2 linked regions of the Schizosaccharomyces pombe genome follow. The protein of the gene in region 2 interacts with the protein of the main gene of each other region in a biochemical or structural test. Each region holds a gene or a part of one and is shown on either strand. Other genes may lie near its edges.

Evidence for each region.
Region 1: the proteins of nse5 (region 2) and smc5 form a complex in vitro, tested with the Schizosaccharomyces pombe proteins (2 studies listed by BioGRID).

Annotation. Positions count from the first base shown.
Region 1 is NC_003424.3:5,224,996-5,231,703, forward strand, and holds smc5 (Smc5-6 complex SMC P-loop ATPase subunit Smc5), read right to left. Parts: upstream 4,799-6,708; 5' UTR 4,759-4,798; coding exon 4,706-4,758; intron 4,638-4,705; coding exon 4,472-4,637; intron 4,423-4,471; coding exon 1,411-4,422; 3' UTR 1,184-1,410; downstream 1-1,183. Other genes in the region: mitophagy receptor Atg43, read right to left, coding at 242-976; DASH complex subunit Dad3, read left to right, coding at 4,831-4,908, 4,946-5,128; mek1 (meiosis-specific serine/threonine protein kinase), read left to right, coding at 6,145-6,301, 6,342-6,708. UniProt on the Schizosaccharomyces pombe protein: Acts in a DNA repair pathway for removal of UV-induced DNA damage that is distinct from classical nucleotide excision repair and in repair of ionizing radiation damage.
Region 2 is NC_003423.3:1,256,103-1,260,362, reverse strand, and holds nse5 (Smc5-6 complex non-SMC subunit Nse5), read right to left. Parts: upstream 2,461-4,260; coding exon 1,294-2,460; 3' UTR 1,171-1,293; downstream 1-1,170. Other genes in the region: AP-3 adaptor complex subunit Apm3, read left to right, coding at 1-227, 276-1,092; prf1 (RNA polymerase II-associated Paf1 complex protein), read left to right, coding at 2,977-3,065, 3,116-3,289, 3,337-4,260. UniProt on the Schizosaccharomyces pombe protein: Acts in a DNA repair pathway for removal of UV-induced DNA damage that is distinct from classical nucleotide excision repair and in repair of ionizing radiation damage.

The DNA.
Region 1 (6,708 bases), on a different chromosome or scaffold from region 2:
CCCAAGAATTGAGACGATGCTCGGTTGGCAAACCTACTAGAACACATTTGCTTTAATTTCATTAATCTTTAAAAAAATCATTTGCCATGAAAGTGTGCTAGACAAAAAGGGGGAAATGACTGGTGTTAAAAAAACTTATAAAATTCATATCAATAGAATAGGGCCATTACAAAGGAAATAAGAAAACTAAAAAACTGATGAGAGCAATTGGATAGCTCTATAACACTTAATCTAACGTGGATTAATCCTTGAAGGTAGAAAACAAGCCCAGATTCCGGCGAAGCGACTGGCCAAAGTGAAACCCTTTCTCTTGGAGCTTTAAGAATTGGAAAATATGGCGAACAAAAACCCACATCCCTCCGCTTAAAAATGGATATAGAACGTGATCACGAAGAGTAATTAATGCAACTAAAAAGGCAGACCCATTTGCACGCTGAATAGATTGGAGATATGACTGTTGGAATCGCAAGTCCGGTATTGGGGGAGCTGTAGGAACAGTATATTCGACAGCTTCACTGTGATCCGTACCAGAGCTACTAGGAGATATCACTGTTTTTCCCTCGAATATAGTGGGAAGCTCTGCCTCTTCGACGGCAGATTCTGAATCCTCAGTTTCCCAATTACTGCTATCATCTTCTTCTTTACTCTGGAGCAAACTAAGAGAACTTGTTGAGCTCTCTACAGCACCAAGTTCATACTTGTTATGCAACGTTGAGTTCTCAGGAATACTTTCGTTCACGTCTATCTTCTTTAGTTGATTATTGATAATTATAGTGGATGAACTCAAATGTTCCATTCGCAGTGGAGAAGACGCGTATCCTGAATCTCCATGAGCACTTCGAATGCCTGATCTTTGCAAAGCGTCTTGACTGGAGCCTAAGCTGATCAATTCGTAATCTTCTTCCCACGAACTAACGTCGCTGGTTTTGTTAGAATCAGAGCGGGGAATTGGTATTCCTTTGCTTTCAGAAGACATTAATAAAGCTTCTCTAAAATCAATGTCTAATGAACAGAAATGGGTAAGCACAAGAATGATCCCAATTCTTTGTTGTTTACGTTAATATGGATTCCCGATAGCGCCACATCTACGGTGTTGCGCGATAATTGTATTACACAAAACTACGTTAAGGGCACATGTATCTTTTGAATAAGTTAAGCAATAAAGATATAACATTTTAAATGTCAGGATGCTGAAAGCAATAATTAAAGATAATGATATTATTAATTTATTAAATCTAACGGTCAAATTTTCGGTGACTCTAAGGAACGAAATGACTAACGGGTAACTTCGTATGCAAAATTTTAAAACTCATAAAATAAATTCTTTAGTAAACAAAACACCATCGGACAAAACAAATATCAAAAATTAAGAAAAAGTATGCCAACAAGACAAATATGGTAATGTAGCATTTATGACGAAGAAATGAGTGCGGACTTCTTTAACTTTTCAAAATAGGTAGAAAGGGATGTTCTAAAAGTTGCTGGTAACCAAGCACCATTACAAATACATAGCACTTTCAAATTTCGATGGTATGTCAAATCTGGTAATAACTTTGGAGTGACTAAGAAGTATTGTGAAACAGCGTTGTCACACACTGAATTGACGATATGCCTATGCACAACTCGTTCATTTCGAGGATCCATTCCTTGATTTATTTCATCAACTATTCGAAACGGAGCAATTGCCAAACCTTGTAAAGATAATAAATACATTATAGTAGATACAGAACGTTCTCCACCAGATTGTCGTTGACCCGTAAGTTTTTGAAGTCCTTCTTCCTCTCGAAATTGTACTAAAATATCGATATACCATTTATCATAATCGTCGGATTTCCCTAGTCGAACTTCTCCAGCATATCCCATTCCACTCATTCCTTTAGAAAATCTATCGCTAATACATTGAACATTCTCCTCTAACTTACTAACCCAATCCTCTTTGATTGAGTTCATCTCGTCTTGGAGCTCTTCAACGGATTGATCAAAGTCTGACATTTTCGATTCTAGTTCCTCAATTTCTTTTTTACGCGCATCATATTGTTCCATAACGTAACTATTAACATTCATAAACTTCAGTTTCGTTTCTTCGATGCTAATTTTGTTATCCACTTCCGAACTAGTAGCAAATTCTTCATTTAATTCAGTTATTGCCGTTTGTCTGTCAGATGATTGTGTCTGCAATGAATCAACCACTGAACCGTACAAGGACATAGCATCCTCCCTTGCTGAGGCTAACTTATCGGTAATATCTTTAAGACGATCTTGTACTTCTGTCAATCGAGCGTTGACTTGGTTGGCATCCATCTCGTGTTTTTCAAGTTTGTATTTCGCTTCTATGACATTAAGTCTACTTCCCAACATCTTCTCGAAATTATTCGTAGCTTTAATTGAATTCTCCTTAACTTTTAACACCGAATTCATAAGAGCTTCGAAGTTCTCTTTCCTGATATCTTCATTTTTTTCAATTTCAGCTGCAAATTGCTCAGGAACTTTCTCTCTTTGTCTTAGTAGAAGAGTTTGGTGTTCTATTCTTTCTTGTAATTGTTGCCATTCGTGAATAGGAATTAATTTTTCGTCACGCTCTTTTCGTAGAGTAGATAATATATCGTTTGTACGAGAAAGCAGCGATTCGTGCTCATTTACCTTTTCTTGTAACTTTCTTTCCTCATTCTGTAAATTTTCCAATTGAGAGAGTTGAGCATTTAGTTGCTCCTCCTTTCGCTTTACCAAATCCATCTCAACGTTCTCGGAAAAATATATACTGCGAGAAGGTAATGGGTCTGTTCGCCTAGTAATTTCTCTATCACCGTAAGCTGAACGAAAAACCAAGTGGATAGATGAGCCCGCCAAGTAAGTTTTAAGAACTGGATCCCCGTTAGCCAGACGAAAATTGTTTAACGCATTCACTGATGCGGGAGGTAGTTCCCTTTTTGCAATCGGAATTTGATGAATTTTTAACATATGGCACAAAGCAACCAAAACCACTTCTGGCCCCTCTAAAAAATCGATCACATATCCGTCAAACCCGAAAGACTGAAGCTTCTCACGAGAGCATGGAGGTTCAAAATCTTCTATCTTCTTTTTTCGTTCACTGGAGAATTCTCTTATAGTAGGAGTGTACTTAGTTTTTGAAGTGATAAGATCCATTAACTTTAGATAATCATTATAATTTGACATTATAAATGTTCGAAACGTATCCGTGCGAAAAAACCCTTCTATCAAAGCTGCAAACCCTTTTTCCTTACATTTCAAATTCATATAAATTGGGCCGTATGCGGGTGCTTCAAACGCAGATTCGTATTCCTTCAATAACTGATACGTCTGATAAGCATCTTCCCAGCCTGGAGCAGAAGACATAAAGTCTAGTTTCCTTTTCGTAGCATCGTTGTAGTAGGACAACTCTCTTTTAATGTTATCAAGGTCAATAAGCTTTTGTGCTTTCAATGTTCTGATACTACCTAGTTCATGAGAGCTCTCAAGTTTCTCGTTTTCATGTTGAAGTTTTTCCGCATTAACTTCTTGCATCTTTTCTTGTAGATCTTGAACACCGTTATCCGAAGGTCTTGGGCCTTGTCTTTCTGTTAATGACTTCACCGATTGTTGTGCTTCATTTAATGTAAGATTTGCATTCCGTAAAAGTGTTCGATTGGTATTAACCTTCTCATAAAGCTTTTTCTCGTTCTCCATGAAATTCGAAAAAGAAGCTCTGGCTCTTAAATTTGAGGTATTAAGTTCCATCGAAGCGGAGGAGTAATCGTTAAATGTATCATCTTTTAGTTTTAAATCCGAACGCAGCTCTTCACCTTTATCCAAAATAGGTTGAAATTCTTCCACTAGGTCTTTCAAATCCTTTTTTAATTTTTTTTTGTCTGCACGAAGTTGGTTAAAGACATTGGTTTTCTCTCTGTATATAACTAACATTTTAGCTAACCCTAGCATTTCGATGTATGATTTGATTTTTTCCCGTTCTTTAAATATATTGACTTCCTTCTCTAGTGCCTGTTGTCTATCTTTTAATGAATTTAATGTTGATTGTCCTTGGTTTTTATTTTGTAAAATTTCCCTTTCTCGTTTTCGTAAATCAATAAGCTTCTCATGTGCGGGAAGTAACCCTTCATGGTCAATTGCACGCTCAGTTTCCATCAGTCTAGAATAAGGATCAAGCTGAGCGAATTCTGCAACACGGTCTTGTGGTAAAAAATGACAAAGATTATTCAATTGTACATTGAAAGTATCCATTAGAGACGTTATTGAAGAAGTGGCACATGCTTCCCTATTAATAGAGAAAGAACTACTCTTATCCTGGCTTATTTGTCTCGTGATAGTAACCGTTTCATCGTCACGATACTTCATTTCAATTTCTATGGTTGCAGTGTTTTTGCCATACTTTATAAATTCACGGGCCTCTTTAGCTCTCCCAAGTAGCTAAATCGTTAATCAATTAAGTTATTTTTTATAATATTGAAAGACTTACTTTTGGGGGCCATCCCAGCCCAATGCATATTGCTGAAACAATTGTGCTCTTACCTGTCCCATTTGGACCGATAATCAAATTTAGATATGGACCAGGGAACAGTTCACAATAATCGTATGTAACAAAGTTCACTAATTTAATTCGTACAATACTTCCTAACGCGTAACTCTCGCGTGTTAAGATCATCGAAGTATAAAAAGCAGAAATACTAAATAGAAAAAAGCTATAACTTACTCTGAATACAAAGGATTACTTTTTCTTCGTTTCGAAGGCCTAAGGCCATCCATGGTGGAAGTAAGGAGGATTTCAGTCAACTAGGAGTTTGCTGAGAGCAAAGTGCTTATGCAAGGCAAGGTACAATGAGTTTAGAGGAAAAAAGAGCTCTCCAGAATCAAATTTTAGCTGAATATGCTAATCTTGCATCAAATTTAGAAACAGTAAGTCTTTTTTATTCAGCAGTTGGTTAATATTTAGCTTGTTAAGGTGTTACAGGACATGGTTTATAATCCCAGCAACAATATTCTGGACTCGCTAAGGGATTTAGAAAAGGAGGTTGGACTTGTATATACTCTTTACAAAGCTAGTGTTTGGGCGATTTTGGCAGACCTAGAAAATAACCAAGAAGGTAAAAGCGGCATGTTTCAAGATGAAAGTTGATAACGTGCTTGTTTGAAATTGAAAATACGTCAAACCGAACTATAAATTAAGCTTTAACTCTACTGTTGGTGCTTTTCGTGTGGTTTACTATGAATATTTGGAACTGAATATTTACCGGATAATTTTTCAATCACTTTTACAGAGAAAAAAATACATCCTACTTGGAAGAGTAAAAACAGGCACAAGATATAAGCTTATGAAGGTTTTTAAAAAGCACTTTTCGGCTAAAATGTCCAAGAAACGAATATGGGTATTGTTTTTAAAAAGTTGGTTAGATCACTTTTAATCAATTATCCAAAACAACCCTTTGGAAGTAGTCCGGCCTTAAATATTTCTAAACTATTACCCCGGAAACACTGACCTAATGAATCTTCCGATTAATTGCCTGTTAACATTTTATTAGATCATGCTGGATTCGAAAGTGTTTTCAAGCTTTCCTAAAAGCGTTATGAAAATGGGGTTGCATGAGAATCTGCAATGTTGTAAGCTGTTGATTTCTTAATCAAATAATAAGTTTCCTTCCTTGTTTTTTTCTAACCGTAATGGTTATTCATACTCAAATTTCTTCGTTATGAAGAGCAACTTACAATTGGGACTCGTTTTTGTCCTCGGATCATTAAAGTGAATACAGCGAGAAATTTTCTTCTGCTTGCATTTGACTAAAAATCATTTAAATGCCAGCAACTCTCTTCGAGATTGAAATCCAAAGTTTCTTCTGTTTGTACTAATATGGATTCTCATAATTTACTATATTTGATAAGCAATGAGGTTCATATTTTATTAATATACTTAATAGTGTCAAGCCCAATCCTTCAAAATATTGGCAAGTGTATGTTTTGGCATTACCAAATGACTTTGGTTTATAGTGGTATAACGTAATAATAATGGGTATTGTCTTTATACCGTTATAGACACTGCTTTTACGTTTTGATAGGCGCGTCTTACAAAGTATATATATATTTATTGCTTACGCGCATCACCGTTTTGCAAAGTGTATATAAAAAAAAGCAAGAACTATGGACTTTTTATCACATGCCATGCTTAGTCGATCTGAATCAACGCAAATTCTTTGTGAATTGAGTCAAATAGACGAAAGTACTATGGATCCTCAATATACTGAAGATGATGTTCTCGCTCGATTGTTTGTTTTTTCATCATCTTCTCCACAAACAGGTGTGTTCTCTTGTTTCAATTGATTTTTGACATATATTAGTACTGAATGTTAAGAAATATGAAGACGTTTCTGTTGGAAGGAGTAATACATGCAATTATCAGCTTCTGCAATTCACTGCCAGTTATAAGCACTTTAGAGTGTATTCGGTGCTAATCGATGATGATATGGATCCCCTTGTTTATTGTGAAGATCAGAGCTCTAATGGAACATTCTTAAATCATCGTTTAATTGGTAAAGGCAATAGCGTCCTTTTATCGGATGGAGATATACTCGATGTTCGGCACTGCGCTTCCTTTCTTTTCCAGCAGAAATACACTACTGATAATGATTTTCATCACGAGTATGCGGGTGAGAGATTTAACATCACTCAAAGACTATTGGGAATTGGTGGCTTCTCGCGCATTTA
Region 2 (4,260 bases):
CCTCTCTACATTCATGATATTATGAGACGCATTGTGGATGTAGTTAAAACATTTTTTGGTGGGTTTAATGCTTCAAAGGTCGAGAAAAATGTTTGCGTTATTGTCCAGCTATTAGCTGAAATGATTGATTATGGATATGCAACTTGTATGGAACCAAATGCATTGCAGGACATTGTACCACTCCCTAGCTTTATGAATAAGTTTATGGCAGTTACTGGTCTACAAACGTATGTTATTTAGTTTTCTGTTTTTGCAGTGCTAACCGCATGATTTAGAAATACACCGACTCTTGCAAGAGATACCGTTCCTTGGAGAACAGCTAAAGCAAAATATGCAACCAATGAATTTTTTATTCATGTACTTGAACGCGTATCAGCCGTTTACCAGCCTAACGGAAAACTTGCTTTTGGCACAGTTAAAAGTGATATGGAATGCAAATGTCAAATATCTGGTATGCCTTTACTTTTGCTGAGTTTGAGACCCGGCACAAAACTAGGGAATGTTCGGTTCCACCAGTCAGTCAATTTAAAAAGATGGAAACAACATCCGGATCAGATTGAATTCATTCCACCGGACGGAAAATTTACATTAGCTTCTTTTCAAACAGACTTTGCTACCCAGAAATCTTTGCCTGTTGTTGTTGAAGCAAAAAATAAGTTGGATGGAAGGTTCGAAGTACGTATTCGAAACACCGGGAAAAAATCCGTTGAAAATTTAAAAATCCTAATAACTATTCCTCAAGCTCTAAAGAGCGTTACGGTTACCGAGGGAAATTATATTTTTCGTGCTTCCAAGTATACTCATATGGAAGAAGGTATTCTGGAGTGGTCGGTAAAAAAATTAGCTTGGACATCCCCGGCCTTAGTGTTGACAGGATTCCTGGCCCCCTTAAAGAAAGATGCCAATTCAACCGAAGAGTCAAGTAGCTACTCTAAGCTTGAGCACCTTGATTTACAATATAAACTTCAAGGATCAACCCTTCATAATTTTAAAGTAGAGTCATTGAAGATGCTTAATCATCCAGATAAAAAATCTTATAAAGGGGTCAAGCATACAATTATTGCACAAAATGTTTCATTTCGTTTTCGGTAATAATTAATTTACTTTCTATCTACCCGTTTGTTTATTATATATTATTCATATAAATTTCATTTTCTTAGTTATCACTAATGATTATAATAATTATTTTCCACACAAAGCCTCATTCATTGAAACGATACATATAGTCTATATATATTAGGATACACAATTAATGCCAAATGACTTCTGTTAATTTGTAGTTAAATTATTAAGTTAAACGATTTTATCCAAGGACAATTTTTTTGAAATATCTAATAATACAAGCATGTCTTTGAGTATTGCCATTGGTCTATCAATACCAACTAATTCTGTTTGTTGATACATTGTGTATAACTGCTTCAACGTTGTGTAAAATAGCTCTTTATCAAAGTTGCGATCACTTTCACGAAGGGCCGAACCCAAAAATGAGACCCATGCTCGTAGATGTAGCTTCTGTCTGATTTTGTTTTTCGGAAGGGAAGTGGGTAAAAGTTGAGTTAGCTGTTTAGTAAACTCACAACGTGTATGGCGTATGTTAATTCCAATACCTATTCCTTTCATAAGTATATATTGGCTCAGGCAATACCGGAGATTGGAGGCGCCTAAGTTTCCAAAGAAAAGATCTTGTTGTTTCGCATTCAGTTTTGAAAAACGTTCGTCGAGTTTGCTAAGAAAATGAAAAGCGTCTGTCAGATGTACAACAAAAAATCTTCCCTTCGGAAGCATAGCCCATATAAGGCATAAGAGTTTGGCACCTAGGTTTGCTAGTCTTGATGTTCCTTCAAAACTATTTGAACCTCGACTTTCTGTTTTAGCAGGTGCTTTGGACATACTTGTTGCAAAAGGTGATTCCATTGTTTGCTGGGGAAGAGTGAAACAGGAGAAGCAAATTCTGATGGCATCTTGAAGTTCACACAAATCTTCTCCCATGTATTTTTTCATCAACGCAGATCCGTTTTCCTCAGCATCGATCTCTAATATCCTTAACCATATGTCCATCAAGGACATCCAACGTTCAAGGTCAGGAGGACGAGAAGACATGTATGCAATTAGATCCCAATAATCAACATCTTGGGTAAATAAGCATTGGTTGGAGAAAATCTTCAGATAATTTTCTTTAGGCATATCGTTGTCCGATAGATCATTTTCAAATGACCATGCGTCAAAGTTGATTTTGCTTCTGTTCTCAACCACCTGCTGTAATATCCAATTACAGCTTTCTTGAATATTAGAAGAGGTAGGATATTCTGGGTGGACTAGAAGAGTTATGCACATTCGTATATAACAAGCTGGAATTGGTATAGAGGTCGTCGATAGAAGATATTCTAAAACATCTAATGATTTTGGCAACAAGTCTTCTTCAATACAAAGCTCTATTATTGCCTTTAGAGCCGAGTTCATTTTGAAATGGCGTAAGCAATCTTTGCTACTTTATATGTAAAAGAAGCCAGATATGGAAGAGATATCTTATTTCTTAAAACGATTTTCTTTGTAAAAGAGCATTTAACATGTGCCCTATTTACAGTCTTGTGATTATTATTGAATGGTTTGATTCACGAATTTTATATTGTAACAAAATGCAGAATTCTCAGTTTGAAGTTTTTACGCGACAGAAGAAATATATTCAAAAAGAGGGAAAGAGGAGGACCCCAAATGAGCAGTATTTTAAAAGGAAGCTTTCAACGATAAGGTTTGTAACCAAGGAAGACAACATCTGCAAAAATTATTTCGTAAAAAAAAAATTAAAAAAAAAATCACTTTTCAAATTATAAAAACATTATTCTTTTAATGTACTAGCAGATAGTACCTTTGAAAGCTAGTAGATAAAAGTTTCGCTGCTGTTATGAAATTGGTGGAGAGTCCTTGGAACCGTTATTAGTCAGGTATCTAGCTAATCTGATCCTGTCCTCCACCAAGATGGCCGACTTTCAGGATGAATTGTTGGCATTAGCTGGTATTGATGACTCAGATGTTGCTTCAAACCGTAAAAGGGCTCATGATGATTTGTAAGAAAGCAAATTTATCGGATTGACCTTGCTAACAAAACATATTTTAGAGATGATGTGTTGAGCAGCAGTTCAGACGAAGACAATAATGAAAATGTTGGACAGGATTATGCGGAAGAGTCTGGAGGAGAAGGAAATGAGAAGTCGGAAGACGAATTTGAAGAAAAATTCAAAAACCCGTATCGTCTAGAGGGCAAGTTTAAAGATGAAGCAGACAGAGCAAAGTACGTTGATTTTTACATTTTTCATAAAGTTGTCTAACCAAATAAAGGATAATGGCAATGACGGAAATTGAGAGAGAGAGTATTCTCTTCGAACGTGAAGAAGAAATTTCAAAGTTGATGGAAAGGCGTGAATTGGCAATTCGCCTCCATCAGCAAAATGCTCAGTATATGGCGCAATCTACTAGAAGGTCTACTCGTGACAAGCCTTTAACTTCAGCAGCCGCTGGCAAACGTGATAAGCTTACTGAGCTGAAAAAGCGCCGCCAGGAACGTTCAGCTAGAAGCGTCTCTGAAAGAACTAGAAAAAGGAGCCCTGTTTCCGATTATGAAGAACAGAATGAGTCGGAGAAGAGCGAAGAAGAGGAAGGTTACTCTCCCAGCTATGCTGAGGAAAAAGTTGAACAAGTTTCAAAAGATAATGCATCCGCCAATTTGTACGATTTAAATGCAATTCGTCTTGGGCGTAAACATGTCGCGGAGTACATGTATCATCCTATCTTTGAGTCCACCGTCACTGGATGCTTTGTTCGGGTTAAAATTGGTGAGCGTGATGGACAAGGTGTATATCGCTTATGTCAAGTCAAGGGTATTTTAGAAAGCAGAAAGCCGTATCGTGTTGATGGTGTTTTAACTAAAGTTTCACTGGAATGTTTTCATGGTCGCTCGAAAAGAGTGTTCGATGTCAACGTCTTATCAAATGAGCCTTTTTCCGACCATGATTTCCAACGATGGCATCACCAAATGATGGAAGATAAGCTTTCCATGCCCTCTAAAAATTTTGTACAACGAAAGCTGAATGACCTCAGGGATATGAGTAAATACGTTTTAAGCGAAAAGGAGGTTTCTGATATTATTAACAGGAAGAAAGAGTTATCGCGTGTTCCTTCGAACATCGCTGCTGAAAAGACCCGTCTTCGTCAAAGGAGACAAGCTGCTTATGTTGCTGGTAATGCAGAATTGGTCAAGGAGAT